Notamacropus eugenii: one gene and its partners. The protein of the gene in region 1 binds, or shares a complex with, the protein of each later gene. Links are inferred from orthologs where the notes say so. Each region holds a gene or a part of one and is shown in the gene's direction. Other genes may lie near its edges. The genes, in order: guanine nucleotide-binding protein G(q) subunit alpha, CCKBR, CASR and PLCB3.

Evidence for each region.
Region 2: the proteins of guanine nucleotide-binding protein G(q) subunit alpha (region 1) and CCKBR are in contact, whole or in part, in a cryo-EM structure (PDB 7F8W), measured with the Homo sapiens proteins. The link is inferred for Notamacropus eugenii from reciprocal best matches to the Homo sapiens genes GNAQ and CCKBR. Residues at the interface, in NP_002063.2 of Homo sapiens: Arg30, Arg34, Asp35, Arg37, Arg38, Leu40, Ser198, Val199, Phe341, Lys345, Asp346, Ile348, Leu349, Gln350, Asn352, Leu353, Lys354, Glu355, Tyr356, Asn357, Leu358, Val359; in NP_795344.1 of Homo sapiens: Thr87, Val88, Thr89, Asn90, Glu151, Arg152, Ala155, Ile156, Pro159, Leu160, Ala162, Arg163, Val164, Trp165, Gln166, Thr167, Ile241, Leu245, Gly248, Leu249, Val331, Leu335, His394, Arg396, Phe397.
Region 3: the proteins of guanine nucleotide-binding protein G(q) subunit alpha (region 1) and CASR are in contact, whole or in part, in a cryo-EM structure (PDB 8SZG), measured with the Homo sapiens proteins. The link is inferred for Notamacropus eugenii from reciprocal best matches to the Homo sapiens genes GNAQ and CASR. Residues at the interface, in NP_002063.2 of Homo sapiens: His63, Leu196, Gln197, Ser198, Ile323, Tyr325, Ile337, Arg338, Phe339, Phe341, Ala342, Lys345, Asp346, Ile348, Leu349, Gln350, Leu351, Asn352, Leu353, Glu355, Tyr356, Leu358, Val359; in NP_000379.3 of Homo sapiens: Lys644, Ala645, Asn647, Arg701, Val702, Leu704, Val705, Phe706, Ala708, Lys709, Ile710, Pro711, Thr712, Phe714, Phe801, Arg873, Thr876, Ala877, His879, Ala880, Phe881, Val883, Ala884, Arg886, Ala887, Thr888, Leu889.
Region 4: the proteins of guanine nucleotide-binding protein G(q) subunit alpha (region 1) and PLCB3 are in contact, whole or in part, in a cryo-EM structure (PDB 8UQO), measured with the Homo sapiens proteins. The link is inferred for Notamacropus eugenii from reciprocal best matches to the Homo sapiens genes GNAQ and PLCB3. Residues at the interface, in NP_002063.2 of Homo sapiens: Pro185, Thr186, Thr187, Ile189, Glu191, Pro193, Arg202, Gln209, Arg210, Ser211, Glu212, Arg213, Arg214, Lys215, Trp216, Ile217, His218, Val240, Glu241, Glu245, Glu249, Glu250, Ala253, Leu254, Arg256, Thr257, Ile258, Thr260, Tyr261; in NP_000923.1 of Homo sapiens: Pro257, Arg258, Leu259, Asn260, Glu261, Val262, Leu263, Arg707, Asp709, Lys710, Ile719, Asp721, Gly722, Ile723, Val724, Ala725, Ser845, Asp846, Tyr847, Ile848, Pro849, His852, Tyr855, Ala856, Ala858, Leu859, Ile860, Asn861, Pro862, Ile863.

What each region holds. Positions count from the first base shown.
Region 1 is NC_092872.1:67,954,872-67,962,718, reverse strand, and holds the start of guanine nucleotide-binding protein G(q) subunit alpha, read left to right. Parts: upstream 1-4,739; 5' UTR 4,740-5,028; coding exon 5,029-5,164; intron 5,165-7,847.
Region 2 is NC_092876.1:89,304,737-89,312,307, reverse strand, and holds the start of CCKBR (gastrin/cholecystokinin type B receptor), read left to right. Parts: upstream 1-4,468; 5' UTR 4,469-5,606; coding exon 5,607-5,754; intron 5,755-7,571. UniProt on the Homo sapiens protein: Receptor for gastrin and cholecystokinin. The CCK-B receptors occur throughout the central nervous system where they modulate anxiety, analgesia, arousal, and neuroleptic activity.
Region 3 is NC_092876.1:343,420,448-343,427,918, reverse strand, and holds the start of CASR (extracellular calcium-sensing receptor), read left to right. Parts: upstream 1-4,365; 5' UTR 4,366-4,933; intron 4,934-7,471. UniProt on the Homo sapiens protein: G-protein-coupled receptor that senses changes in the extracellular concentration of calcium ions and plays a key role in maintaining calcium homeostasis.
Region 4 is NC_092873.1:17,094,058-17,101,823, forward strand, and holds the start of PLCB3 (1-phosphatidylinositol 4,5-bisphosphate phosphodiesterase beta-3), read left to right. Parts: upstream 1-4,704; 5' UTR 4,705-4,914; coding exon 4,915-5,013; intron 5,014-7,484; coding exon 7,485-7,562; intron 7,563-7,766. UniProt on the Homo sapiens protein: Catalyzes the production of the second messenger molecules diacylglycerol (DAG) and inositol 1,4,5-trisphosphate (IP3).

The sequences.
Region 1 (7,847 bases):
ACCTCCAGCCCTCCAGTCAGAGGGAGGACGCAAATGAGGAAGTGAAGACGGTGGTGAATCTCAAAAACCTGAGTCATCTGCATGCTGATGAAGTGATCAGATTATCCAGGGGATAGAGGATAGGGATGGGGTGCCATTGGGTTTGGGAAGAGAGGAAAAAGCTTGCAACAGTAGCTGTGGCGAATGAGACAGGGAGTCAATAATGGAGAGCAGAAGGAATATTGAGTAGCAGTAAAGGTTTAACTGAGGTTATGAACCATACATTTGTAGTGGATGGAATCAGCTCAGTTTTATCACTTTCTCCAGCAATGCTCAGCAGCTTAGACGAAGTGGAAAAATCACATGACAGGAATTATCCAGAGACGAGAATTTGCAGGTCCAGAATGAGGGAAGGTTTGGAGGCAAAAGATTCTAGGGTAAGTGGTAACTTGTGAATCATTAAAGTGGCAGGTAAGGGGGCATGAAGGAAAGTAAAGACAGAGTGGGAAAGATGGAAAACAGGGTCAAGTGACCAAGGGTCATAACAAGGGTGAAGAGCTGATTTTGTGAATTGAAGGAGTGGGAGAGATACAAAGAGAGGTTAAAAGTTTCAAATCTTGGAGGTAGTAATAATAATTCTGAGAGATGGTGAGTGTATGCCTAAAGGAGGATGAAGAAGAAAACTATTGTAGTTGGGGAGGCTGAGTCATTATTTGGTCTTGTTGTCAGAGCAGTCTTTTCCTTAAACATTGAAGTATGTGAGGGTAATGGCAAAGGGGTGGGGTGGAGAGGAATACTATGAACATAATGCTTGTCACTGAGGAAAGTTGGAAGAATACACTGAAGGATCCATTCTTCACAGATGTTAGACATTTATCAACATATAAAAGTAAATCCTTTTAATACTTGAAAGAGGAAATACTTAATATTTAATTAATACTTAAATTAAATACTTACTTAATACTTAAAAGAGGAAAGGTCAGGGAGAGAAGATTGGTAGATAGATATGTAGAAGTTCAAGTGAAAAGGATCACGGGCACTGTTCCTACCAGTTCTAAGAGTTTGGAGAATGGAGAGGTTTAGAGGGATGTGCTGTCCTTAGGAGAGAGTCGATTTTAAGTTAAAATGAAGAGATAGAAAAATGTTGGTTGTCAAATTCAAGGATATACTGCAATTTATTGAATTTTGAGTGTGGTGTAGTGAGATTAGTTCTGAAGATGGTAGGTAGACAAGTGAGGTAATATAATTGAAAAAGCTTTGGAAACTCTAAATCACTATGCAAATTTAAAGTATCATTATTAGGCTCAGACCTGGAATTTTCCTTCCCCATGGAGAACTATTATTCTCTTTCTCCCTCTCCCCACCCCCCAGTTCAGTTTTGTTCCCTTTTATCTTGTTTTAATACTGAAGTGCCATTTTCCTCCATCTTAATACTTGTAACACACAAAGGCAGTCTTCATCTTGACTTCAAATACTTGTATAAGGCCCTGTCTACCCAGTCCTGAAACAATCATTCAATTTGCTTAATTCAGTCAAGTAATGGGTTAGATCAGTCAAAGTGGATAGTTTCATGCACTGGAGACTTTGTAATAAGTTTCCAATGGTCCCTGCTCCCTTAGATCACCAGTCATTGGTTTTTGTGGGTTCTTGATCCTCATTTGATTTCCTGGTCTTTTGGAATACACACACATGTACGTATGTACGTATGTATGTATGTATATACATACATATATACACACACATCCAGACACATACATATGAAACATAAATATATACAAGAACCATATATATGAAAGAAAAATCATAATTAAATTTTCTTCCCTGCAGTCATTCTAAAATTCTGCAATATTGAATTTGAATATTTAATCGCATTAGTCACTTAATTTTAAATTTTAATTTCTTATCATGTGTAGCAGTCATTTATTAGGGCTTTAGCAGTGCGGGAGGAGATATTTGCCTTCCTCATTGTCAGGCAAGATGGATTTTTATAGATCCCTTTTGTCTATGACTTAAAAAAGGCAGTAGGGAACAAGTGGAGCATGGGGCTGGTAGATCCGAGAATCTGAGAACTTGTCTGATTTTCTTCCTGACTTGTCATATATGGGGAGTGAGCAGGTTCCAGCCCCTAAAAACATTGAGATGATGTTTGTCACCTTGTAGAACCCTTTGTACAATTCTGCACCTGTGGGAGATTCCAGTGGTAGTATGGCAGTGAAATCTCTTGACATCCCAGGATGAACACATTAAAACAGAGAAATCTTCATGAAATAAAGCTTCAGTGAAAAAGGAAGATCCCAGGACACATATTACCCTTAAAACATCAGATTCCAGTAAGCAAGGAAGGAGTAGTTTCACTTCTTGAGCTGCTGGATCATCCAAAACTCGAAATTCACAGGAAGTCCTACCCTGTTATCAGTAGAGTATCAGGACAAAGTAGCCAAGCAACATCAAAACAGTGTCAATCAAAACTAGAGAAACAAGAAATGGGAAGAAATTTTGCTGGAATGAACGTTTATTCTGCTGTTTATTTTTTGTTTCATTGTTTACATTATTCAGTCACACATAATTTTGCATACTTAAAGAGCTAAGCTGTCATTAATTCTTTGTTTTTCGGGGAGAGGGAAAGAAGAGAGAGAGAGAGAGAGAGAGAGAGAGAGAGAGAGAGAGAGAGAGAGAGAGAGAGAGACAGAGACAGAGAGACAGAGAGAGACAGAGAGAGAGAGAGACAGAGAGATTGAGAGAGACAGAGAGAGAGACAGAGAGAGAGACAGAGAGAGAAAGAGACAGAGAGAGAGAGAGACAGAGACAGAGACAGAGAGAGACAGAGAGAGAGAGAGACAGAGACAGAGACAGAGAGACAGAGAGAGAGAGAGAGAGAGACAGAGAGATTGAGAGAGACAGAGAGAGAGACAGAGAGAGAGACAGAGAGAGAGAGACAGAGAGAGACAGAGACAGAGAGAGAGAGAGAGAGAGAGACAGAGACAGAGACAGAGAGAGACAGAGACAGAGAGAGAGAGAGAGAGAGAGAGAGAGAGAGAGAGAGAGAGAGAGAGAGAGAGAGAGAGAGACGAGGGGAGGGGGGAGACAGAAAAACAGACAGAGACACAGAGAGTGAGACAGAGAGACAGATAGAGAGAGAGACGGAGAGAGACAGAGAGAGATTTCCTAACATGTTCAAACGGCTGGCATGATTTCCAAACCAGAGGGGAAGCTGGTAAAAAAAAACACCAAAAACAATGAATCTCAGGGGCATGAAAAGTTACAAACGTTGCCTGTGAAACTCTCGGAAACTTCAGCAGTTTCATTTCTCGGCTCAGGATTTCATTTCAATCAGAAGTAACTTTGTGGAAGATTCCCCTCCCACCCTGCCGGTGGGGAATGAATTACAAATTTGGCCCCCCTTCAGCCCCACCCCACGATTCCAGTCGAAGTTTTCCAAGGATGGCCTAAAGGTGGAGGTGGTGTGAGGTGGTTTGTAATTCAATGGCATTTTTGAAACTAGGATCTTTTTTTTAAAAAGTATTTTTTGTAACGCTGCCCTCCAGGACAAAAACGCCCCTGTTCCTCGCGGCCATCGGGGGAGCGCCGCGCCGGTGGCAGACTGGCGGGGTTGCTGGGAGTGGTGTTTGCTTTGCAAGCCTGTCCACTGGGTTTGGAGGCTGGAATTCGTGGGATTTCCAGGAGTGTGTGGAACTAGCTGTATCTGTGTCTGGTGGGCAGAGAACCGAGAGCGAAAGCCGCCATATTTCTGCCTTACCACGCCCGGGAGGCTAAGCCCTGGCAAAGGCAGGTTCGCGGCCGCAGCTGCCGGTGCTGGATTCACACAGCCCACCGAGGGCGGGCGGCAGCGGGCGCGGCGGCAGGCGGTGGCCTCGGCAGCCCGAGCCTCAGCCTCCGGCCCTCCTGCCGGCTCCTCCCCCTCCTCTCAGCCGGGGCCAGCGGGCACAGCCCCGACAACCGGCAGAGGAGGCAGCAGGATCAGCACACGGAGAACCCCACGGGGAAGGGGTCGGGGAGGTGACGAGAAGTGGAAGAATCCCCGGCACAGAGACCCGGGAGGAGGCGAGCGACACCACCTCCTCCAGCCTCCAGTTTCACTACCATCCCCACCGCCGGCACCTCCTTCTCCTTCTCCTCCTCCTCCTCCTCCTCCTCTCCCCCGCGGGCGCCGCTGCTGCCGCTTCCCTCCCGGATCTGGGCTCCAGTTGAGAGAAGAAAATGTGTGTGTGTGGCGAGGGGGAGGGAGAAAGCTGATCAGCCACTCACCAGGGCCGGGGGGTGGGCATCTGGCGGAGAGCAGAGGAGGAGGGGGAGGGGAGGGGGAGGAGGGAGGGGAGGAGGGCCAGGAGGAAGAAGGGGGGTGTGTGTGGAAGTGTGTGAGTGTGTTTGCGCGCGAGCCCGGGGTGGGTGGGAAAGGGATCCCGGCGGGTGTCATCTCGGATCCAGGGGGGCGCAGGGGGAGTGGTGTCAGGCGGGGCAGGGGAGAAGGGTGCGCTCGGTGTCTGTGCCATCGCGGCTGCTGCTGCTGCTGCCCCTGCTGCCGCTGCTCCTGCTGCTGCTGCTGCTGCTTCTGCCGCCGCCGCCGCAGCCGCGAAGCTGCTCTGGTGGATGTTTCTGTGTGGCTCGGTGCATGATTTAGAAGAGGAGGAGGAGTTGGATCTAGCTAGTGACAGAGGCAGGAGGCAGAGGGGGTGGGGGGTGGGGGGAGGTGGTGGTGTTCTGTGAGAGAGGCCGGGGGAGCGGGCCTTTCCCCCTCTCTCCTCCTCGCACCTCCCGAACCTCCCTTCCACCCGCTGGTGCGTTCGGGCCCCGCCGCCGGGATCGGGCTTCGCCGGGCGTGCGGTGGGCGGCTTCGGGAGTCTCCCACCTTCCCCTCCCCTTCCCACCCTGCCTTACCCCGGACCCCCCTCCCACCCCCAGTCCCTCTTCCCACCCCCAGCCCAGGGGTTAGCTGCCGCCGCGGCCCGCGGCGGGGAGTGAGGAAGGAGCGCGCGCGCGCGTGTGTTTTCTGGGGGTACTGGGGGGTTGTGTCTGAAGCAGTTAGGAAGAATGACTCTGGAGTCCATCATGGCGTGCTGCCTGAGCGAAGAAGCCAAAGAAGCCCGGCGGATTAACGATGAGATCGAGAGGCAGCTCCGCCGGGACAAGCGGGACGCACGCCGGGAGCTGAAGCTGCTGCTGTTGGGTAAGTGGGAGAGCCGCCTCCCCTCGCTCCCCGCCGACTTCCCTTCCTTTGCCCCAGCCACCGCGGCTCCCTCCGCCTGCCCTCTCCTCCGCCTGCTTCCACCCTCGGGGCAGCTGCCCTCCGCACCCCCAGCCGCTGATGTGCTCCCCCAGCACCCCTCCCCCAGCACCCGACACATACACACATACACACAGCACACCACCACGCGCGCGCACACACACACGCACACATACACACACGCACACACACACACACGCACACGCACATACACGCACGCGCGCACGGTGCCCTTATGGAGTGGATCTTTCTGTATGCCTGCCCTACGCCCCCCAAGTCCCCCTTCCCCCGTCTTCACAGCTATCGTGGTGTATGTGCCCGGGTATATGCACACCCAAGGGCTATGCATAGTGTATGCGTGTGTATCAGATGTGGACACAGTGCAAATGAAAGTCGTATCATGGCAAGAGGGGGCAGGGCATGTGGATTTGGGGGTGAGGGAGGGGGAGTGAGAAATAGGGATTCAACTCCCAGTATCTTTGCCTGAGCTCTGTGGGAGCGTGCTATTTCCGTTAGGATAATTGGAGTCGGGAAATTGTGTTCGCGCACATATATCGCATCTACCGTGGATCATGTTCTATGTAGATCCCTATATATACATTTATGTACAAACATATTATCTATGTACAATAGATACTACAGGTCTGTGCTTCCCTGGGTGCTTGTATTAGGAATGCATTTTGGGGTGTAGGGAGGCTGAAACAGTGGGCTTCAGAAGGAGGTTCGATGTGGTGACATGGAGGAAGGGGATGGTGGTGGTGGCTCTCGGAAGCTAGGGCAAAGGAGGCTTAAAGTGAGATGTGAAAAAGAGGCGGCAAATGTTGTAAAAGAACTGAAATTCTTTTGCAACCTGGCGACTAGAGCAAGAGCGAGAGAAGATGAGAGCTTCTTGATGAAGGTTGGGGGGCAGGCTTCATTAGCTAGCTTCCCCGTCCTTCCAAAGGAAAGAGACTTGGGGTCCGAGGTGTTGGGGTTTGTGGTGGTGAGAGTGGTAGAGGTTGTTGATGTGATGGAAGCTTTTGGTTTCATGTGGCTTATCAGCCACATGAAGGACTCTCTTTAGAACAGGTCCTAACTGGAATCAAGAATCCAGTCCTCAGCTACTCTGTGGAGCAGAATAGTGACCTATTGTGTGTTGGAAAAATGACAGTGATTTAACACCTCTGGAACTGGCCCATTTGGGCCAGAAATAAAACGGGCAGAGTATAGGACAGTTTCCCATTCACCAGGGGGAAGAAGTGAACCTTCCAATTCTGCTCTGTTAAGGGGATTGCAAAAAAAATGTCCTTTCTCAGATAGGAATCTGTAGTGATGCTTTCTTTGGACAGTGTTTTAAGCATTTTAAAAATCAAGAGATTAGTTTTCACATGCAGTACAGTGTGACACAATTCTTAATTACTGTGACAGGAACAGTATAGGGCTTTGGAATAATAGGCCTGAAAAATGTCTGCCATAGTGTTATGGATACTTGTGTGTGTTGGAAATCCATTACATAAAATTTTGTGTTGGACAAAGATTACTGTTATTAAAGAGTCTAAGAAACACATATCATCTTATCTTGAACATTCCATCTTCTTTTGCAAAGAGCTATTCTGTTGTTGAAGCCCTATTGTTTATGTGCTGGATCAATTAAAGAGGAGGAACAAAATAGAATAGTGGCAGAAAGATACAAATGGTTAGTTATACATGTTGTAAAGAAGCAAGCAGAACACGTGATTCACTTTGGAACACGGTTAGACAGATTTGCACATGCTTAGTTTAAAGAGAATGGAAGGCAGAGGGACTGAAGGATAAAATGTGGGCTTTAAGGTAATAGAATGAGGGATGCAGAAACCAAGACTTCATGATAAAGACTGATTCAAATTGAGGGCTACTTTTTTAAGGGCTGAAATTGAACCAACTGGATAGATGAGATATTCTCTACAATGAGGAAATGTGTCTCTTGTAGAGCTGCCTCATTAGAAAGCATAAATGTGTCATTTTAAACTTTTTCATTTCAAAATGTATTTTTTCACCTGACCTGCATTGTGCCTTGAGTTGTGTCTGTTTATGGTTTGAACAGCAGGTTCCAGGGTTTCTAGCCCTTACTCTAGATAGTGCAACAAATGTTTCAGTGGCTGGACTTTTCAGGACTTTCTTGAGAAGAGCAGAGGGCAGACCGTGTAATGGCCTCAGAAACTTGTCCCAGAAGGAAGATTTTAGTTACTTGTAACTATGTATTCTATTTATTTAAATAGGCCTGCTTTGTTTTTAAATGAAAGTTAGTGGTGGTTTTCTAGGAGAGGGGAAGGGGAAGAAAACAATTCACATCTACTGTACTTCTCTGGACTAGAGGGTCTGGGGAACATCTGCTGTGACTCCCCCACCCCTCTTTTCCATCCATAAGTTGAATAAGCTTATTAGAATTCCCTTCCACCTAATTAAAATCTCCCCCTCCCAATTAGCAATAGTGGTGTAACCTGAAATTAAAGTTTAGTCTTTAAAATCATGAAGATTTAAAAGTTACATAGATCACTGTAACACGACCCTATAAAGTAGAATTGTCAAGTGATTTTTAGCTTCATATATATCATACATGATTTGTGTAACATAAGCATCCTAAAATAGCTATCTTTACTGCTTTATA
Region 2 (7,571 bases), on another chromosome or scaffold:
AAAAAATACCCTTAAATCAACTTTTATGATTAGTTCAGATGAGAGAGCCCAAGGGAGAAAGGTGACATAGTCATTGTTTATACTGTATGAGCTCAGGTTCACAGTTCCTCCTACTTGTTATCAACTCTAGGGTCCCTGAGGAACTTAACATCACCTTATTAGCTGTTGCAGGAAGACTTTTAGTTCCATTTTCGTCTCTGTAGTCTTAGGTCTGAGAGGCAACAGGCAGAGTGGATAGAGAGACATCCTTGAAGTCAGGGTGATCTGGGTTTGAGTTTTGCCTCTGACATGACCTGGCATGACCTGACAGAACCTGATCCTAGGCAAGTCATTTAACATCTCAGTTCTCGAGGGCCAAGAGTCTACAGTCTAAGACTATAAACTGCAGAGAAAATGCCAACCTGAATTTATAGAGGGAGTTCTTCCTCTCCTCTTCCCCTTCGAGTATCCTATATCAAGGAAATCATAGGTCCATTTCCTATCTGGGGTATGGCTAAGAGGCTATTGGGTAGGGCAGTAGATGGCACACTGGGCTTAGAGTCAGAAAGGCCTGAGTTCATGTCCTTCCTCAAATACTTACTAGCTATGTGACCTTGGGCAAATCACTTAACTTCAATTTCCTTAATTGTAAAGTGAGGATATTAATAGTGCCTTCCTTCCAGGGTTATTGAAGGATCAAATGAGATATTTGTAAAATGCTAAATACAGTGCCTGGCATATAGGAGGCACTTAATGATTGATTATTTCCTCCTTCCTATCTTAGGGGTTGCAGTATCAGGGCTTCATATGTGCATTCAAACCTATTAGGTGTATTAATGACTCTAGTCAAAGCCTGAGAGGGTCATTTGACATAGTCTATCTGTCCTAGGGATCACAAAGATAATGAGAGAAGCTGTAGGGGCACGTGAATGATCCAATGATCTCATGAGGGGCCCGCAGCAGGACATGTTATGATTCTAACCCACAGAAGTTGGGACTCAGGGAGGCCAAATCTTGTTCCAACCTACCTTTCCAGCTATATTTCATATTACTTGCCTCCTTTCTGGCCATATTTAATTTTACTCTCCTTAATAGTTCTATCTTCCAGCCAAATGAGATATTTGTAAAATACTGAGCACAGTGCCTGGTACTTAATAGGCAACTAATAAAAGCTTGATCTTTTCCCACAAATAGATTGCTATCTGTTCCTCAAATTCAATATTCTATGGGAAGGCTCAAAGACTAAGAAGTTTGTTTCTGAATACACATACACACACACGATAGGTTGAAGCAAAGGGCAATTCCTCTTCACAATACTGCTCTATCTAGGGTTTTTGTTCTTGTCATTTCCCCTTCCTTCCCCCTTTCATTTGAATGGGAAACCTAAAGGATCTTGCATGGTTGGGGAAATTATAGTACCTGAGACCTATCTCACTCTTGTGAAATTTCTTGGCAAGGTTTTCCCATGAAAAAAAATGTCATTTGAAAGCACAGTATCTCCCAAAGGAGTTGAGCAGGAGATTACAAAGAATTTCTAACCCTAAATCAAATAGTTTGCTGGGCCAATGAACTGTAATTCAGCTCCAGATGCAGAATTTTCAAGTACCTGTAGGTGTTACTTAGCTGTCTAGCTGTTCTGTGTTCCAAAAGAGCTTGGACTTTAGAAAGAAGGACCATGTTTGTGTAGAAAAAAGCTATGTACAAGTCAGACTTCAAGATTCGATGGATCCTTTTGGAGAAGAGGCATCCAAGAGTTTGTTTTTTTTTCTAATCTATATTAGGTATATGAAAGACCTTGATGCCCTCACTTAAATGGAAGTTTAATTATCTGGGCTATAAGCTAAAAGAGATAGAATCTACTTTCCCTCTTAAGGGAAAGAAGTAGTACAACAGTACCTAGCAGTAACCACATACCCAATGGAGTACCACTGAACAGAGAGAGACATACAAGACATTTTGGAAAGCAGATCCAATGGAAGCGGGTTAATGATATCACCAGAAGACATTGGCAATATTGACACATCAGAAGCCTTTCCATAAATGTGCCCTGTCCACACAAGTGTCCTAGGAATGTCCACTCTTCCCACCTTGAATACATATTTTTGTATGCTCTAGGTTTATGGGGGAAATGTTCTATTACTACTTATCTTCCTATGCTATTTCATTAAATAGCTTTGCTTTGAACTAAACATTTCCTCTGGCTGACTAGTAAAAGTAAATACATTATTAGGGGGCTCAATAACTATGGTTTTTGTGTGAATTTAGAGAGAGTCCTTTAACTTGAAGTATCTTGTCTGGAGTAACCCACATAGAAGCAAAGGTTGCCTGTAGGTACTCTTAATTCCATCATCTATGTGTGTTGTTGTTTGTCCTTCATTTTTGAAGAGGATCAATGACATCACGAGGTGATGTCTTGACTTGTGCAAAAATTAGATTTAAGTGAGTTAGAGTTATACAAAGTCGTCAGCTCTACTCTGTCTTACAAGTCAAAGGAATCCAGTGGCAAGACAAAAGTCAAGACCGCTGGTGATGGCCCAGGATGCAATGGATGACCTTGGCACCTTCCATGTCTGACCAAGCTCTAAGCTCCCCACAGCACCTGCTTCAGCCACCTTCATGGTCGTTGAAACAAATTGCCCATTCCACCAAGAAAAGTATTCACATATGTGAGGTAGACACCCCCTAACTCATCGATAGGTCTGAGGCCTGTTGGTTAACCTCAAAACCTGGTTTAGAGTCTCTACTGAGACAGTTTTACTAGGGTGTGGCCACTGCACATACTGTAGCTTCTTGGAGCCACAGGTGAGAGTTGAGTGCCAGATGGACACCAAAGGTGGATGAATAGCCCTGAAAAGGACTCGGCAAGCCCTCACACTAGAGGTGCTAATTCTCCTTAAACACCCCATATACCCAGTTTTTAGGTGTACATTATTGCAAGCTGTACCTGACATCCAGAATGGGCTCTCATCTCCCTCTGTCTTTAAGATAACTTATCTTTTTTTTTCAAGTATCAGGTTATGTGCCTCTTTCTCAGTGAAGTATTCCTTGACCTGACTCTATCATTCCTCATATTACATTATATTTACCTATCTGTGTAGATCTCTCTCTCTTAAAATACAAGCTCCTTAAGAGGAGAGATTGTTGTGTTAGCTATTGACCCTCTAGTGCCCAGGGCATTCTATTTTGCATTGAGCTCACAACAAATTGGTGAGCCAAATTGGATTGAACCTCATGCTGTGCTATGATTTAAGGGTTCCATCATTTCTGTTCCCTAAATTCTAAATCTCTAACTCTTGTTTTCTCTCTGTCTCTTCTCAATCTTCATGCCCCCATCCCCATCTCTCATTCGCCCCCCACACCCACCCTAGTCTCCTTCATTTCTGTTCCTGCCTAGGCCCTTAAACTCTGTCCCATACTCCCAGGTTCCTTAATTTGTCTTCCTTCAATGTCATTCACCCTTCCCCCTTCTCAATGGGAAAATATCTGCTGGTTATCAGTATTTCCACCTGGGACTCCTTAGCTAGAGCAAATAGGGCTACAGGCCCTAGGATCTGAGAGTCAGCAGAGCTGGGTGAGGTAGCAGTGCCAGGAGACACTGGACTAAGCCTAGGACAAAGTCTGGAAGTAAGGTGGGCATCCTTCCCACAGAGTAGGTGTCCTCCCAGCTGCATCTCAGCTCTCTTCACTTCCTGCCCTTCCCTGCTGCAACTTACCTGGGTCACAACTTTCCTTCTGAATTGGAATTCTTAAACTGCTCCCATCCTCCCATCCCTGCCCTTCTTCCCTTCTACCCTGCCCATCCCTTCAGTCCCATCAATCCTCAGTCTTTGGGGGCTATCAATCATGAGGGAAGGGACACTAATGGGCTTTTTTCCCTGAAAGATGGGGGTGGAGGGGTGGAGGAAGGACACAGTATCCCTGGAGCCAAGGAGATGATGAAGAGACTAAGGAGAGGGTTGGGGAGGGGGAGATGCCCTCACAGATAGGGCTGGAGGCCAAGGACCTGGCAAGCATCTCCATCCCTTTGGCACCCCCTCCTATTTTTCTCATCAATGCATCCCCTGTCTTCTCAGTCCTTAGGATCTGGTGCCTCTTTTTCAAGACAGCTTACCCATTCTTACCTTTAAGGAGACTGAACAAGCCCAGGATGGGTCCTGTGATACTAGAGGAGGTGAGATGAATGCTGGGGGTCACCATCCTCTCCTCACTTCACCCATCACCTTCACCCCCAACCCACTTTGGCTTCATCTTTGTCCTCCCATCCTCTGCCCTACCCTCCTCCCCGTGGGAAGCCCAGGCTGGTTATCTACATCTCCACCTGCTCCCAAGAGCAAACAGAGGGAGGGGAGAGGTGGTGGTGGCAGCACTGGCACTACCAGGTGCCAAAGGGAGCTAGGGACTCCTCTTTTACTGGTACTCTGCCCCTGGGAAATTTCCACTCATTGGAGTCCTTCCTAAGGTCAGAGTCCTTACTACATCTCAGCTCCCTGAAGTCTATCCGCTGATGAAGAGTATTTGAGTTACTGTAAAGGACTATTTGAGTTGGTGTCATTGCGCCCTGGTCTGTCATTGGGGGTGTTACTGTGGCTCTAATATTACTAGGACCAGAAGTGTGACTGGTTATGACGTTGGGGCCAAGGTATCACTGAGTCCAGAGGTGTCACTGAATAGGTTGTCACTGAGATTTCATTAGTGGCTGTTATTGAGTCAGATGTCTTTGGAGCAAAGCTATTATTGGGACTTGGGATGTCATTGTGTCTCTAGGGGTACTACTGGGGACAGCCAGGAGTTATAAGAGGGGTGTGCTGGGACACAGGATTCTAAGTGAATGGCTGTGAGCCTTCCCTGCTCCCAGTCCGCACCTCACACTTGCCCCCAAATGAAACACGACTCATTGGTGTCCCACTCTACATTTTGGTGCCCCATAGGTCAATACGGTAGCATAGCTGAAGTACAGTACAATTAAAACGTCAGATCTTGTCTCCTACCACCCTTCCTTGCCTCCCCCCGTCCCCCATCAGCAGTGGCAGCCTCAGCCCCGCGCCTGACTCCCTCCAGAAACTGGGGCTGGAGCAGCAGTATAGAGCACCTCCATCCCCCTACGCCCACCCCCAGGCCGAGCGGCCGCGCTGCAGAGAGGGGGGCGGGACCCCAGCTCTGCTTAGCTCTGGAGGAGAGGGGCGGGGCTCCCCAGGCCACCCCAGCCCCAGCACCAGCAGATCCCGCTGCGGAGGGAACGAGGCTGGGAGTCCCCTGGAAAGGGGGAGGAAGATTTTAGGGGTTTGGGGGAGCTGAGGCAGAAAGACACAGGGCATCGAATGACACTGGGAGAAAGCCAAGGGAAAAGATTTGCGGGGAGTCAAGGAGAGACCCAGGGGTAGAGAGACGGGAGGAGAGGCACACGCAAAGGGAGGGACGGAGAGACGCAAGGAGAGAGGGGGAGAAATCCGCGTGGGAGCGCAAGGTGCCGGCCGGAGGCAGAGGGCGGAGCGGACACACACCAGAGCCGGCCAGGTCAGGGGCACAGAAGCGACAGACGCGAGAGCAGGTGGAAGCGGTGGGAAACGGCCCCCTAGGTTCCCGGTCTTCCGAGGGTCTTGTCCCAGGCCCGCCTCTACCCTGGGGCCATGGAGCTGGAGCTGAATCGGAGCGTGCCAGAGCCAGAGTCCCAGTGCGGCCCGGGGCCCCTGTCCCCCAACAGCAGTGCTAACAGCGGTGCCAATAGTAGCTGCGGATCTCCCCGAGGAGGCTCTGGAGCCAGCAGGACGCCCCGAGGTAAGTGTTCCCCTTCTTTGATGCCTCTTGGCCCCATCTCTCTCCCATTCCCGTGTCCCCTTCATCTAGGACCCTTTCCCTCTGGGCCCCAACCCCCATTTCCCACCTCTCCTTTCTCCAGCTTTCTCTGCATGTCCCTTACCCCTGATGCCCCAGGGACCCTACCACAAGCTCCAGAATGCAAAGCCCAAGATCATGGAGGTGGGGTGAGGGGAGGAGCAGGGGTAGGATGGCAAGACTGTCAGAGAGCACTAGAGGAGTATTTGTGAGCCTAAAGGGGAGTTGCGCTGTTGATCAGGGGGCTAACCCCGTAAGGAGAATTCGTGATCTGCAAAGACTTAGAAGCTTTCTGCGTGTAGGGTCCAAATGGAGCGCGCACACACACACACACACACACACACACACACACACACACACACACACACACACACACACACACACACACACACACACACACACACACTAAATCTGTTGTTGAAGCTAAGAAGCTGCCAGAGCTGAGGAGGCACTAGAGGCTGAGAGGAGTGGATACCCCTGTTCACTGAACTCCAAATCTTTCGGACCCCCTCCCCCTGGAAACTGGGACCTTTCTCCCCAGGGTTTTCCTCAAAACATTTCTCTTGCTGGAAACTGACCCCACTCCCTGTCCCATGTCCTGTTCTTTCCCTTCCCCCAGCAGCCTGTCTCTACAAAAGCATGTCTGTCGCTCACCCCATCCCCATTCCAAGACTGCTCATTCCTCTCACATACACTCCTGTTACTCTGAGCTTAGTTCCCTCAAATATCTCATTCAAAATCCCTTCTTCCTCATCTCCCCTGGCTTCTTGGCCTCCCATGTCACTACCATTCTCTCCATCTCCCCACACAACCTTGTGGCATCCCTGCCACACCCCTTCATCCACCTCTGTATAGTTTTTGCCACCAGCTGATCCTCCTTGTGTTCTTGGCCTCTCTGCCCCTCCCCTTCAGAACCCCCTTCTACCTTCCACAGGCTCCTGGCCTCTTTGCTACCCCTGGTGCCTTTCACCTTCACTTCAATCACCATCCTTCATTTCCTGGAAGACCTGAGTCACCTTTTCCAAGGTGCCTTCCCAATTCGACTCCCCTTCATTCATACCCTTCATCTGGGAATCCTTCGGGGCTTATGGAAATTGAGCAATTAATTTGTCCTTGCTTGTTATTTTCTTATCTCTCTATCCAGAACATATAACTTTCCCAGGGCAGCTATATCTCTCACTGAATGGATGTTTGAATGAATGGTAAATAAAAAACCAAAAACAACTGAAAATCATAAAGTGCTACATATGTCATGTGATATAAATAAAAATAATATATTAGTTACTTAGACAGATGAAGATAGAGGAAAGATACAGAGATGGATAGAGGCATACTAGAAGCTTTCAATATTTTTTTTGGTCCAAGAATCACTTTGGTCAAAGATCCCCAGAGGAATTCCCCTTGTTCCCTTGGCATGTCCCCTAACCAGTACAATATGGTGGATTTGGAGTTTAGAGGAGACCTGAATCCTTCCTCTGACACCATCTAATATATGATCTTTGTCAAGAGATTTAGCTACTTTAGGCCTCAATTTCCTCATCTACATGATAAGGAGTTGAACTAGATGCCCTCAAAGGTCCCTTCTAGCTCTGAATCAATAACTAACCTAAAATGAGGGGGATAAAAGTCTAGAGTGCCCTCCTCAGAGGGTTGTCATGCAGGTTAAATGAGACTGTATTACAGCATTTTGCCAACCTTAAAGGTATTTCCAGTGATAGTACTAGTATGGGCTAATGGTCAGCCTTGGATCCAGAAAAACC
Region 3 (7,471 bases), on another chromosome or scaffold:
CATCTTCATTAAACACTGGAGTAAAGGAAAGAAGGAGGGCTGAGGATAAGAGGCAGCATGGTAGAGTGGAGAGAACTTTGGCTTTAGGGTTGGGAGACCTGGGTTCAGACCCTGCCTTTCTGTCATTTGCTACCTGTGTGACTTTGGGTAAATTACTTAACCTTTTTGGGCTTTATTTTCCTCATATATAAAATAAGATGGTTGGACTAGATGGCCTTTGAGGTCTCTTCCAGCTCTGAGGTTCTTATCCTTGTTTGTGTCATGGATCCTTTAGGCAGTCTGGTGAAGCCCATGAGCCCCTTTTCAAAATAATGTTTTTAGATGCATAAAATAAAATGCATAGAATTACAACAGAAACCAATTATATAAAAATACAATTTTAATTATATTTTTAGAAAACAAGTTCATGGACCCCAGGTTAAGAATTCCTATGCTTTTGAGAAGAGAGAGAAGTAGAGTTCATAAGAAATGGTTTCTGTTTTCTCAGTAAAGTATAAAGCAAGGTCCTCAGATGATAAGATGGGAGTGGCTTGAAGACAGAAGAGGTTTGGAATAGTCTCTGTGGGGAAAAGGACAGATTATTATTTAGGGATGAGTAAAACAATCATAGTGCTTTAGTGAGAGCTCATTTGAGGTTCAAATAACAAAAATGTAAAAACATCAACAACAAGAGCAAAAGATCAAAGAGAACAATAATTCATAGAAGCACTTTTATGGTAGCAAAGAATTGAAATAAAGCAGTTATTCATCTTCTCTGTCAATTGAGGAAGGGCCAAGCAAACTACAGTATAATAAACAAGCGGAATAGTGGCTGACACTTATACAGCATCTACAACGTTCCAGGCACAGTGCTAAGCACTTAAAAATTACTATCTCATTTGATCCTCACTGCACCCCTGGGAGGCAGATGCTCTTTACCTTATCCTCACTTTACAGATGATGAAAGTGAAGCAAACAAAGGAAAGTGAAATAAACAGCGAAGCAAACGGAAATTGAAGCGAAAAGGTGACTTGCACTGGGTCACCCTGTTAGCAAATGTCTGACAGTGGATTTGAACACAGGTCTTCCTGGCTCCAAGCCCAGAGCACTATCCATTGTGCTACCTAGCTGCTCGATTTTAGCAGGATTCAGAGAAACATACACGAACCAATGTAGCGTGACTTCATCAGAACCAGAACACCATGACTATAGTAATGCAAATGAAAATGTCACTAAAAAGGAAACTGAATTATGAGTGACTAACTGTATTAACCATTGCTGATCACAACTTGGTGAAATATAATAAATGGAGGATGACATTGACAGGATATTGCATTTGTGTGCACGTGTGCGCATGTGTGTATGAACATGTGTGTCTGTGTGTGTAGATAGACAGATTCAGTCACAGTATAGATGGTTTTAGCTAAGCTGTTTTGGTTCAAAAGAGTATTCAGATGATAGGGGAAGGTAAATGCACAAAAGACTGTGAGGTAGAAGGGGAAAAAAAACTTATTTAAAAATAATTTTTAAAAGAAAGCTAACACCATCCTTCTTATTCCATGAAAAAAAGGTGCCACATTCATTTAAAAATCACTTAAGATTATTTTTTCTTTTCCTAGGTCTTTTGAGGAGAATTCACACACACAAACATCTGAATTTCCCCTTCCAGTTCTGACCCTTGAGTACCTATTCTTCTAACAAAATCCGACATATTTTCAAATATTCACACTAAGCATACATTCCTACTAGGAATGATTTCCCTCTCCTATTGACCATTTTGAAGAATCTTAAACTCATGTACTACAGGCACAATCAACTTTCCACTTCATAGTCAGCTTTGGGTCATCCAAAAAGGAATCTAGTTTATGTTTTCTCAGTTTTCCCATGAAATACATCTTGAAATGGCGACATTTGCCCTCTACCATGTTTATGTGATTTTATGTAGTCCTTTAAGACTTCCTTTGAATTCTCTCCCTTTTTTCTCCTTTCACACCTTTGAAAATACCGTATTTCAGAATCTTCTATTTTCTCCACTTGAGTTTATGTTTTTTCTGGGACTTGGGTTCTATCAGCACTGGTTCTTTCATCCCTGCTCTCTTTGATCTTCCTTTCATTAATTTCTTAAGATACTTTCTTTTCTTCTTCTCTATTGACTTCAAAGTATTCTCTCTCTATGTCTCTTCCTCTCTCTTTCTCCCTCTCTCCTCTCCTCTCTTCAACTTCCCTCTTTTCTTCTTCTTCTTCTTCTTCTTCTTCTTCTTCTTCTTCTTCTTCTTCTTCTTCTTCTTCTTTCTTCCTCCTCCTCCTCCTCCTCCTCCTCCTCTTCTTCTTCTTCTTCTTCCCTCCCTCCATCCTTCTCTCTCTCTCTCTCTCTCTCGCTCTCTCTCTCTCCTTCTCCATTCCCATTCCCAATCTACTTTGCTCACAGAATGACAGCATTTTAAAGTTGGAAGAGATTTAAGCAGCAATCATTTTAACCCACAACAGAAAAGAAATCACCTCCAAAGGCATACTCATCAAGTGCTCATCCACCTTTTTGAAGACCTCCACTGAGGAGGAATCCACTTCTTCCCAGGTGTCCCCATTCCATTTTTGGACAGATCTAATTGTTAGGGAAAAAATTCAATTGATTCTACACCCAGTGAATTGATTGTTATTTACTCTACATTTCTCCATCTTTTCCACAAAGAACACTAGGTCATCAAATGTTTTGCTGCAATCTAGATAAACTCTTTAGCATTCCCCTGATCAACCAGTTTGGCAGCCCTGTCCAAAAAGGAAATAAGGTCTTGATAAAGTCAAGCTGCCTCTCTTTTCAGCAAGAGCCATTCCTTATCTGGTGACCGTTTTAGTTATACTTGACTGCCAGCTGTTTTATCTGTTTCCCTTCAGCATGACATGAAATCCACCTTTGTGTCCCTGAAGTGACTTTTTGTTGTTCTCTGTTGTTATGGACTCGAGTAATTCCCCAGAATCCATTTAAGTGGGTATTACCACTAGCCATTTCATTTCTCTTGTCATTCTGGAGTTTGTAAGCTCCATTTCAACTGACCTGCACTTGAATAGATAGTTTAGATATGTCCTTCTTACTCATCACTTAATCAGTCGTGGGAAACCAGATCTCCAGACACCCTCAGTTCATTACTCTTTCCACCATTTCACATTATTCTTTTCCTACATGGTGTAGGAAACTCTCTAAAAATCTGCCTTAGTAGCGTAAGGACCCCTAGGAGGTATTGAGTTAAAAAGGGGAGGTTTTAAGAATTATTCATGCACTTATGGTTTTAAATAGAAAGAGTTATAGAACTACTTCTGACTGCTGCAAGTAAAGTTGTATATTTGCTTATATAATTCATATTCATATAGCATTTTAAAGTTTACAATGATGTTGCTCACAATATCCACTGTGTAGATAGGGCAAGTATTATTTTTCCATCCTATATATTGTTGTTGTTCAGTAGTGTCCAACTCTTCTTGACTCCATTTGGGGTTTTCTTGGCAAAGATACTGGAGTGGTTTACCAGTTTCTTCTCCAGCTCATTTTACAGATGAGGAAACCGAGGTAAAGAGGGTTAAGTGACTTGCCCAGGTTTACACAGCTAGTTGAGTGTCTGAGACTGGACTTGAATTCAGGATGGGTCTGCCTGATTCGAGGTCCGGCACCCTGTCCACTACGAAACCTGGCAGCCCGTTAGGGAATAGAAATCGAGTCGTGCTGTTGTTCACAGGTGGTTACTTAGCTAGCAAAATATCAGAACTCCGAATCCAAGGTAGGTCTCCTTACCTTCAGGTGCAGTGCTCTTTCAACTACACCAAGTTCGATTATTTCTCCCAATTTCCCCTGATCCCCTCCTGCAATAGTCCTAGAAAACTTTGCGTTGACGTCCTTCACAAGAAAATATTTCCCCACTCGTGGCCTAAAGTCACTAGTTCCAAGGCCAGGGTTCCAGTCCCTCTTCCCTTTTTGCTGATACTCAAAACTGAGTCCTTCCCCAAGGCAGAGACACTTTCACAAGATGCAGCATGCCAGAGAGAGGATGGACTCCCTTGGGTACCACATCTCGGCTAAACTCAGCTGGAATTGCTGGAGACCGCCAGCTCAGCCAGCAGCAAGCCGGCAAGCAGCAGGGGACCCTAGAGAAGCAGGCAGAAACTGGGGTCACAAAGCAAGCAATCACTCTGAGTTTCTCGGATGAGAACGTGCGCCCAATCCCAGGCCACAGAAAGGATAAGGAAATCCTTATCCCTATAAGGGAGGCGCTGGCACTGGTTGAGGGTTCAAGACTGCTTGGTGTCTGAAAGAATCACACAGGTGAGGGAGGTGTGGTCTGGACCCAACTAAGTTCGAGGAGACAGGCAGACAAGATATTGGATAAGGCAGAGAGACGACCTGGGGAAGCAGTCAAAGGATCAGGACAGTAGATTCTTGGAGAATGAGACTCTGGAAAGTAAGGGAACTTAGGGGAAAGCCTGAGGGAAGGAAACACATTGGAGTGAGAGCGCGCACTGAACAGGAAAGGAGGCGGGGCGGAGCTTTGCAACGAGCTGGGGAAGAGGAGCCCGAGTGAGGGTGGCGAGCCTGCTTGGGGATTGGCTTTCTCTGGCCTCGTTCTCCCTGTCTCTCCCGCTGCTTGGGAGAGAGAGGAATACTTTTAGGCTTCGGCAAGAGATGCTGTTTGCCAACCCGGAGGGACGGATAAGATGGAATGGGAGGCAGGACTGAGCCGGCACCTTTCCCAAGAGGCAGTGAACTTGAAGGTGTAGGAAGCCAGGTGAGCAGTGCTGGAGGAGCATCCCCGCGCCCTGCCTAGGGGGATTTGCGGTCAATCCTTCCTAGTACTAGAAACCTGCCGTCCAACCCGCATTCTCGGATCCGCCCGGCCAGGAAAAACCAAAGGAACCCGCTACCTTCGGCCACCTGTGGGTGCAGTGGAACCCTGGAGCGGGGCGCCTGGTGAGTGAATGGAGGGGCAGGAATATTGATCAAGATGCGAGAAGAGGGTGGTGGGATGGAAGGTGGGGGAGGTGGGGAAGAAGGGGCGTAAAGGGTTTTGTTTTACGGTTATAGGGAGTCATGAAAAAAACAAGAACGAGTTTATAAAAGCAAACGGGGATCGCTTAAGACAACTGACACCAAGTACAACTAGGGGTTTTCCTGGGGACTGTCGGGGCTGATCTATTAACTGTCACTGAACTAAGGCTTTATTTTATAGATGAAGAAACTGAGCTATGAAGTTATGTTCCTTTGGACAAACTCGCAAAAAAAAAATGTCAGAAAGGGACCCCATTGCTAGACTAGGACAGGGACTGAACCTGCGCTTTCACTGGATAGAGGGATCTCCTAGATGTGGGAATTCTATTTAAGAAATCAAGTTGTCTGTCACCTTCTCTTCTAGTTAAAAGTCTGGCCCAGGGCACTAAGAAAATAAGGGACTTATCTGGCTTACACGGCCAAGATGCGTCAGCAGCAGAACTGGAACCTAGATTTTCTGACTAGAATGCCAGGTCTCTATCCAGTTCCCTCTCTTCCCTTTAATTTTAAAAAATTAAGTAGATTTCCATTGCAAAAGCAGCTTCTTGCTTTCCTGGGCTCTTTTTCTTTTGGCTATTTGCAAAATAAACTGGCTTTCACCAGAGAGGAAGAGAAAGTCTCTCTTCTTTCCTTGGGCCCTGCACTGGTGGGGCTCCTGGGCCAGATTTCACACCCATGCAGGTGGTCCCTGACCTGTCTTAAGGAATATTGAAATTTCAAGCCCCAAGAAAGGTTGCCATATGATTCAAAAAGTATATTGTTACTCTTTCAGAGCGTGGGAATTGAGAGGCTTCACGACGTGTACTTAGAATCATGGAAATCTGAATTAAAATCCTGCTTCAGACAGTTATTAAATTATCCAATCTTTCTGGGTCTTCATCTATAAATATAAGAGTTTGACCCAATTGTCCCTGGGGTCTTTTCTAGCTCTAAATCTAAGTCTCTGAACTACTTCAGCTGTACAATACTTGGCCAAACATGAGTTTTCCTCAGTCATAGAATTTTAGAACTAAAAGGTTTTTAATCTCTCTCTCTCTCTCTCTCTCTCTCTCTCTCTCTCTCTCTCTCTCTCTCTCTCTGTCTGTCTATCTCTCTCTCTCTGTCTCTCTCTCTGTCTCTCTCTCTCTCTGTGTCTCTCTCTCTGTAATTAACCCCTTGGCAGGCTAGCGAAGCTTATGCATTCTTTCTCAGAATAATTTTTTTTAAATTCATGATTGAAGGAAATTCTAAATTTCAGTTAAAGGTTAATGAAAATAAGGGCGTAATTTTTCTCATCCAAGCTCACAGATCCTCTGAAATCTAAGAACTCCTGATCTTATTTCTAGGTTTTGTAGGTGAGGAAATTGAAGCCATGAGGAAGGAAGTAACTTGTCTAAGGTCACATAGCTAGTAAATGGCAGAACCAGTTCAGACCCATGTCTTCCGAGGACAAATCTGCAGATGAGTTACACATTTGCACTGGAATTTTCACACAGGAATTTCCCCATAAAGATAAAATCATGGATCTGGCCAAATTTTTTTTAAAAGTTGTCCCATAAATCCTGTGTTTATACCATTACTCATTTTTATGCTTTTTTGTTTTTCATTTGCCTTTGTTTCTAAGTTAGATTGACATAAAGGAAGACAATAAAAAAGGGGGTTATTTTTCCAGACTGAGATTTTGGATCTGTTAGAATGTGATTCTTCTACGAAACCTTCTGCATTCTGTGGGAATGAATAGGGCTTCTGAAAAACGTAGAATGTTTCATGAACTGGGAGAGCAGTAGTAGAAGAAGAAAGAAAGTGGTCTGAGTGATCTTTCTGAATGGCAGGGAGCTATTCCAAGGGCTAACTGTCTTAAGTACATACTTGTTCTTGTACTAAGTGACTTCACTGACTGAATTTGCAGAAAAGGAAGAAATATTTATTGTCCTAGGTTGGGATAAGCCCAAGGTGTTACTTAGCTGAGGAGAGAAAAAATTGAAAGGGAGGAATTGTTGGGGTGGATGGCAAAGTGGGAGATTAATGAGGAGTTGAAACAAGAGATCTGATTTAGAAAGTTCTCCTGTTTTCTTGAAACCAGAATAGCATGGGTGCTATTCTATAATATTTGGGCAAAAACTATTTTTTTTTACTGTTCACTTTTCTGTAGAAATGAAGTCATTCTTCAGAATCCTACCAAAGACTAATAGGCGTGTGTACATTTATAGTCTACATCTATTTGCTTCTCTGTCTCTCTTTCTGTCTCTCTCTGTCTCTCACTCTGTCTCTCTTTCTCACTCTCTCTCAACTTTTCTGAGCCTCAGTTTCCTCATAACTTCTGTGAGACTTCAATGGGATACTACACTAAGAACTTTGTAAACTTTTAAACACCATATGAATATTACTTAATAACTCTGGAACTTTGGCCAAGTTACTTAATTTTTGCTTCTGTTTTCTTAACTATAAAATGGGGATAATAATAGCACCTACTTCCCAAAG
Region 4 (7,766 bases), on another chromosome or scaffold:
GCCTCCAGGAGGGAGGCCCAGGCCAGGTGATGGATGCTGCACTCTGGTTTTCTCTCTGGTTATAAATTCATCATTTGACCCTCTGGTTCCCAGGAAGGCTCTTCCAGACCTGGGAAGAGTCCAGTTGATGTTCTAAGCCGACCTTGACCTCCTCAATCTGCCAGAACCGAGGACTAGACCCTGGACTTGGAACTAATCCTACCTGAGTGTTGTCTGGGCAGGTCATGCCCAGTCTGGGTGGGTGCTTGTTCTGCTGCCATCAAAGGGGCAGTGTGGGAGAGGAGCAAGAACAGTGACTTTGGGGGCTAAGCACCTAGATTTTCATCTTGACTCTGACTAGCTGCCTGACCTGGGCCAAGTCACTTCAATTCTCGGCTTCAGTTTCTTCATCTGTGAAATGGTTTTGGACTCAGGGTTCCACTTTCACTCCAAAAAAGCCACAAACATTTCTTAAGCATGCAAGGCCCTGTGCTAAGCACTGGGGGTTCAACTCCCCCCACCCAAGCCTCTGCTCTTGAGAAGATTCTGGTGGAGATAGAACAGGTAAACAAAAAGCAAGTCCATCATTGTGCCAAAGGGCGCTACCCCCGGCCCAGTGCAGACCCTGGTTCTTGGAAGGCAGCAAGAATCCCTCGTTTTTCCTCTTTCAGTTATTCCTCTCCTTCATACTCCATCCTAGTTAATGTTCCAAGACAGTGTGACTGAACCTTCCCACCCCTCCTCTGGTTTCATGCTTTCCACTTCTACCCATGCTCCAAGCCCTAGAAATCCTCTTCTTTGGGCTCATCCATGGGGACAGGCCTTGGGGCCACCCCAGTATCCTGATTCTACTTCTCTCCCCAACTCCCAATTCTTTCCTTTTATCTGTATCTGGTCCCAGGCATCTTCCCATTCTGGACCATTCCAGGAACCAGGCAAATGGATTCAAAGTTTCTTGGTACTTCCCCAAGAGAGCCAGGTTTCCCACATCCTGATTTACTCAGCTCCAGTCTCCCCCCATTTCCCCCATCCTCATATTATCTTGCTAATGTGGCTGAATGCTTAGCTGCCAGAGGCTCTAGGGAGACTTGGGTGGGGTTCTTGAGGCTGGAAGGCACCAGGCCTCTCTCTTCCATCATTACCAGGATGCCCATCACCATTACCGGGGTTTTGACAAAGTGTCCAGAGAAGAAAAAGCCCTGTAATGGTAATCCCCCTGGGACCCATTTCACTAGAGAATTAACACTAACTCTTCAACTATCTGCTAAGGGCACCATTTTCTCAGGGACTCCAGAAAATTCCTCCCTTCCCCTCCCTAGCCTCCCTGAACCTTAATGAGATTTAGAGATGGAAAGGTTTTAAAGATGGTCATTTTGCAAACTAGGAAACTGAGACTTAGAGCAGCAGAGAGATTTACCCCAGGTCACCCAAGTATCTCCTAAAGTCACGGACTTAGAGCCTGAAGGACTCATAAAGACTGTCGAGGTCAATGCTCTCAGTTTACAGGCTGAGGAAACTGAGGCTCTTAAGTAACTTGACCTGGATTACATAGGTGGTGAGTGGCAGAGGCAGAGTTTTCACCTGTCTCCCTTGACTCTACTAATTGAACCTGCTGCTTCTGCCCAGGGCAGCTTCTCACTGGGTCTAAATCCTGGTTCCTTCCCAGACCCTCTGGACTGGGCTTAGAACCCTGAGCTAGCATTCCTGGAACCTAGAATCTCATCTCTCCTCCCTTTCTCCTTTCCCCTTCCTTCTCCTCTCTCTCTCTCTGTGTCTCTGGCTCCTCTCCCCCTCCCCCTCCCCCCATCCCCACCCCATCTTCATCTCTCTGGCGTGGTTCCAGTCTTTAGCCTTACCTGGTCTTCTACTACTAACTGAATTGTGTCTGGTCATTCCAGAGGCCTAATCCACCCCAAGCTGTGGGACTGAGGGAGCCATGGAGGTAGGCTGGATGTGTTGGGGAGGAATCTCTCCCTTAGAAGGACTAGGTTCAAGCCCTGCTCCTGGCTGTGGGACCCCCAACCTTCTCCCAGCAGCTTGTATGGGATGATCTCTAAGACATCTCCCAGTTCTAACCTGGAGCCTGTGTCCAAGTCCCTCCTGTACCCCCAGGAGAATGTAAGCTCCCCCAGGTCAGGACATTTCCTTTCAGTCTTTGGACTGATGCCAGTACAGACTGAAGTGGCTTGGGAGCTGTCTCTCTCCATCCTGCCTTAGCATCTGATTTCCCCGGGAGTCCTGGCCTCAGAGTCCATAAGATCTGAGTGGGCTTTCTAGGCCCAGCTCTATCACTAACCTTGGCAGCTTTGTCCAGATGCCTTCTCCTCACCAAGCTGGGCATCATCAAGGTGTCCCAAGAAGGCCAGACTCGACCCGGAAGAACTGCTTCAGGTCCTGGCTCTGGCACAGGCTTGGCCTCTCTAGCCTCAGTTTCTTTTTCTGCTCAATGGGCATGGCCGCACCTGCCACAGAGGGCTGCTGTCAGCAGGGGAGGACAGGAGGAATGAGAATTCTTCTATCCCTAGTTTCCTTCTCCGGAAAGATGAGTCAGTTCATGGAGATGCCTTCAGAGGTCCCTCCATCTGGGAAGGCTCTGATGTGTAGGTGCCAAACAGGGATGCTTAACAGCAGGCAATTTAGCAAAGAAAATTGGAAGCAATTGGACTTGAGGTCCAGGAACCCTGTGGTTAGCTGTGTCCGGGAACCGCCCCAACAGCACCTCCCCTGCAGGGAGGAAAGGAAGGAGCCAGGCCCTGTGGGAGGGTGCAGAGCATCCTCTCCCAGACAGGGGCCTCCCCTGGGAGTCCCAAGGCACTCTCACTTCCTGGGGGATCCTAGGGCTTTCTGCCGAGCCAATAGGTCAGCCATTTATGACCTCAGGAGTGTCCTGAGGTCGCACAGAAGCAGGCCTGGTAAACAGGCAGCTTAGGGCTAGTGACTTGTCCAGGGTCATACAGTCAGAATACTTCAGAGGCAGCACCTGAAACCAGGTCTTTCTTGAGATGCCGCTAGGTGGCACCATAGTGCATAGAGCTCCCAGTCTGGAGTCAGGAAGACCTGAATTCAAATTGGACCTCAGACAAGTTTGTGTGACCCTGGGCAAGTCATTGTTGGCCTCAGTTTCCTCATCTGTAAAATGGGGATAATCATCCCATAATACTTCTCTCAAAGGGTTGTGCTTGGGAAAAGGCTTTGCAAACCTTAAGGGACTGCAGACATGGGAGGAATAGTTGTTATTGTTTTTACAGAAAAGGAGAGGCCAAAAACTTGGCCTAAGGTCTTGAAGTAGTGGGGTGAGGGGGCCTAGTACAACACTCTCCCCTCCCCCCCAGCATGGAACTTTTTGCAGGCAGGAGCCCTCCTGTTGCTTCTGCAGCTGGAGACCTTGCCACCCTCCCCCTCTCCCCAACTCCCTGTCTTTCTGGGTTTCTAGGTCCAGCCTTAGGTAAAATTGTGGCCTGCACAGAATTTGTGTTCAGCCCCTCTAGAGCTGTCCCGTTGGCAGCCCCAGCTCTGGCTCGGGGGCGGGGGCCCACAGGCAGATGCGCTCCGAGCAGGGGCGCTATCGTCCTGCCCATCTAACCCCCTCCCTGCCCCCAACCCTTTATTTTTCTGCTGGAGGGCTTTTTTCCCTCCTAGGTCATTAGCTCCTGGAGGGCAGGGGTGGTGTCTAGCCCTAGATCTGAAGCTCCTGGGCTAGACCTTTTAGGTGGCTTCCAGAATCTTCGGGTGGGGGCTGCCACAGACACACCCACCCACACCCAAGTTTAAGACTCCATTGTTTCTCTGGGTCCCCAGAGTTTTCGGACCCCCTCCCCTGTGGGTGCAGGGCCTCAGGGCTAGACCATTTGGGGGTGGTGTCCCCTTCCCCACAGGACGACTATGGATGGGGCAGAAACACTAGGGTTAGCTTGGGGAGGAAGCCTGAGGTTGGATGGGTCTGGCGTCCCTGGTGTAGAGTGCTGGGCCATGCGATCTGAAGACTGGTTCCAAAAGTTCTTTCAGTTTCTTGCGGTGTGACTTGCAGCAAGTGACCTCCTTCTCTGGTTCACAACCCAGTGATTTACAAATTTAGCAAGAAAAGCAGAGGGAACAGAGGGCCAGTTGTTACAGCCTCACACTATCTGGGCTCTCGGGGTAGCACTGAGGCTTGGGGACCAGGAGCTCCCGGGGCCTCTGAGGTTCTGTGGGGAGAAAGGGCCATGAGGCAGCTGAGTGCTTCCGATCATGGAAAGGGGGGGGCTGGAGATGAGGGCTGGGGGGGATGGCTGGCTGAGGGAGGGGAGGGACAGAGGGGTGGGAATGGATGACTGGGGAAGAGAGGAGGAGGGAGGATAGATGGCTGGGGGAGGGAAGAAAAGGGGTAGGGGGATGGCTGGATGGGAGAAGGGAGGGATAGAGGGTAGGGGGCTGGCTGGAGGAGGGAAGAAAAAGCTGGGGGATGGCTGGGGGGAAGGGGAAGGATAGAGGGTAGGGGGCTGGCTGGGGGAGGGAAGAGGAGGAGGCGAAGGGAGGTAGGGGTGGGGGCAGGAGCGAGCCGGCGGAGAGCCCAGCCGGGACCCCAGAAGCCTGGAACCGATCCCTGCACTGCGGACCGGGCCGTCCGAGTCTGGCCGCCAGGGGGCGAGGACTCCTGCCCCAGCCGCATTCCAGCCCTGGACTCCTGGGTTCTGGGAAGGCAGCGGAGCCGGAGGGGAGGGGCCTGATCAGGCCCCGCCCCACCTCGGCCCCGCCCCGCCCTGCCCGGGCCGCCCCGAGAGAAAGTCCAGGACTGCGCTGCCTCCTTCTCCTCCTCCCTCCTCCTCCTCTGCTGCCCCCGCCGCGGCGCTCAGGCTCGGGGAGCCGGACCCGGACCGGGACCGTCGGGGTTCGAGCCCCCAGCCCGGTGCGGCTCGCCCTCCGCCCTGGCCCCCGGCCCCTGCCCCCTGGGGAGCCATGGCCGGCGCCCGGCCCGGGGTCCACGCGCTGCAGCTGGAGCCTCCGGCCGTGCCCGAGACCTTGCGACGGGGCAGCAAGTTCATCAAGTGGGACGAGGTGAGCGCAGGGCGGGGGGGGCGGGCCTCTTCACCCTGAACCCCCTCCGGGGGCCCCCAGCCGGGCCTCTGCACCCCGATCCCCCGCCCGGGGCCCCCCGCTGCCTCGTCTTCCCAGGGCCTCGTTGTGCCTTCCTCCCACGTCGCCTTTCCCTCCCCCCAGTCCCTGGAGCTAGGGGGGACCGTCCCGCGCTGCTGTCCAGACAGTCCCCATAGTCCCCCCTTTCCTACCCCCCAGAAACTGAGGAGGGAGGTCTGGCTTCTTTCCCCCCAAAACTTGTGCCGGGGCAGTCTAACAGGGACTTTGCTCCTCCCATTCGCTGGAGAAGAGACTTTGAACCCCAATAAATCTCCTCAGCCTCTTTGGGCCCCCCCCGGCCGCAGCCACTGTCTGGGCGCCGTCGAACCCCCCTCCCAACCCCCGTTCCAAACACTAGGGCTCGAGGCTCCCGGGGCTCTGCCCCGCGCGAGTCCCCCGTCTCCCGGCGCCCCGCTAGCTTGTACCTTGCTCTTTCGCCTTCCTCCTTTGCCTTCTCCCCATTCCACCCTTTTCTCCACAGCCTTTGCACCTCCTTTCCTGCGGGACCCTCCCCCTTCCCCCTGCCCGCTCCCACCCGCCAGCTTCCTTCCCGGGTCGCAAAGCACCCCAACCTTGCCCCAGTTCCAGGCCCTCGGGTTCCCTCCCTAGCCAAGCTGGGCCGGAGGCCTGGCAGAATTCCCTTTTCCTTTCCGGCTGGGTGGGGCTGGGGGAGCTTGCTACAGCTTTGGGGTGGCCAGGAGAGCAGAGGGAGGGGGCCTGGGGGTGTGGCCAGAGGTAACAGGTGTGGTGGGGCCCTCCGCCGGGAGAGCAATCAGGTGCTGCGGAGGGGGTCGGGAGAGGGTGCTCTGGGTCTGGGGGAGCCCCCTCCCCCCATGGGAGGCCTTGGGCAGGAAAGTTAGAAAAAGTTTCTCCTTTTCCTTCTGGTGTGATAAACCCAAATAAGGAAGTGGAAACCAAGGAGTGAGCCTGGGGGGGAGGGGGGGCTGCCTTGGAAACTGGGGAATCTGAAAGGGGGGGCTGAGGGACCAAGCAGGAACGCGGAGAGTCGATGAGGTCTGGGGCAATGGATGCGTGATACGGCCACCCCCATCCGAAGGGACCCCTTGTTCTATAAACACAACCGTGCTAAGGCCGACTTCTAGGACTGGAGGGCAAAGCGGAGGATTTCAGGGACCCGGAGAACAGAAAGCACCTGGGGGAGAAAGGTTACCTTTTCACACACACCGCCCCCCCTCCCCCCCCCAGTCCTTGGGATTGGCCCCTGCTGTGCAAGCTGCTCCCTATGGGGTCAGAGGTCGCTGTCACCGTGGACTGGGGGCTGAGCGGGCTGCCTCTCGGTCTTGGACATCGCCTGCTGGCCTGGCACTTGGCAGGCTGGCCCTTCTCCCCCTCCTCCTGCTCCTTTCCCTTTGCTCCACCCTAGGGGTCTGTACCGTTTACTCGGACCTCCGTGGTTGAGTAAATCTGCCCAGCAGCAAGGGTGGGGTGGGGCAGAGGATGGGGGAGGGGGAATGAGGGATGGAGCCCTGGGGGGCCGGGGTTTGAAGCTGGGAGTACTTGGCTCCCATCCCCTCGGGGACCTCTTGTTCTGCTGAGCCCCACAGCTAGTCTGGGGATTCAAATTCAAACTTGTGGTTCCCCCCTAGGCTGCCCTGGTGTATCAGAGTCTCACTGGGCAGGGCCCTGGGACTGGGACTCTTAACAGCCCAGAACTGCTGTTAGAGTCAGAGGCTGACCCTCCAGCCTAATTCTGTCTGGGACAGATCTTTGCAGAAGGTTTGGTAGGAAAGGTGTGTGGGGGGAGGGGAGGAAGGAATGGAAGAACTCTAGACTTGTGGGTCAGGAAGACCTGGAAATCCTGGCTGAAATGATTGCTAGCTTGGTAACCCTGGTCAAGTCAACTCTACTTCCAACGAGCCCCAGTTTCCCCATCTGTAAAATGGGTCCAGCATTAGCATCTGCCCCACAGCATTGTTATGAAGATGACTTTAGACTCCAACTGGCTGTGTGACTCTGGGCAAGACCCTTAATCTCTGTAAACTGGGCCTGCTGCCACTGTCCACCTTGCTCCAGAGCTGTAGTGAGTTCAGTCATCTCAGTCACATCTGACCCTTGGTGACCTCATTTGGGGTTTTCTGGTCAAAGATCCTGGAATGGTTTGCCATTTCCTTCTCCAGCTCATTTTACAGGTCAGGAAACTGAGGCAAGCAGGGTGAAGTGACTTGCCCAAGGTCACACAGTTAGTTGTCTGAGGTTGGATTTGAACGAATGATGATGTATGTGTTCCTGACTCCAGACCTGGAGCTCTCTCCATCCCAGAGAAGTCTTTGCAGTAGGACTGTGATCCCCAAAGGTCTTCGCCAGGTCCTGTCTGGTCACCAGACTGTCCCCCTTGGCCTGTCCCCTTACTGCCTTCTTTCCTTACTGTCCAGGAGGCTTCTAGTCGGAACTTGGTCACACTCCGAGTGGACCCCAATGGCTTCTTTCTCTACTGGACTGGACCCAACATGGTATGCATGTGTTTCTGAGGCCCAGCTGCTCTGGCCCCTCCTCCATACTGCAGCCCCCTGATCCTTGCCCCCTACCCCAAATTCCTGAAGCCCTTAGGGCAGGGGCCTCCTAAGCTGGCTGACCCTTCCCACGGCCTGGCTGGACAGGAAATAACCTCCTACCCTTCCCCACCCCTGAACAGGAAACATCCAAGTCCTCTCCTC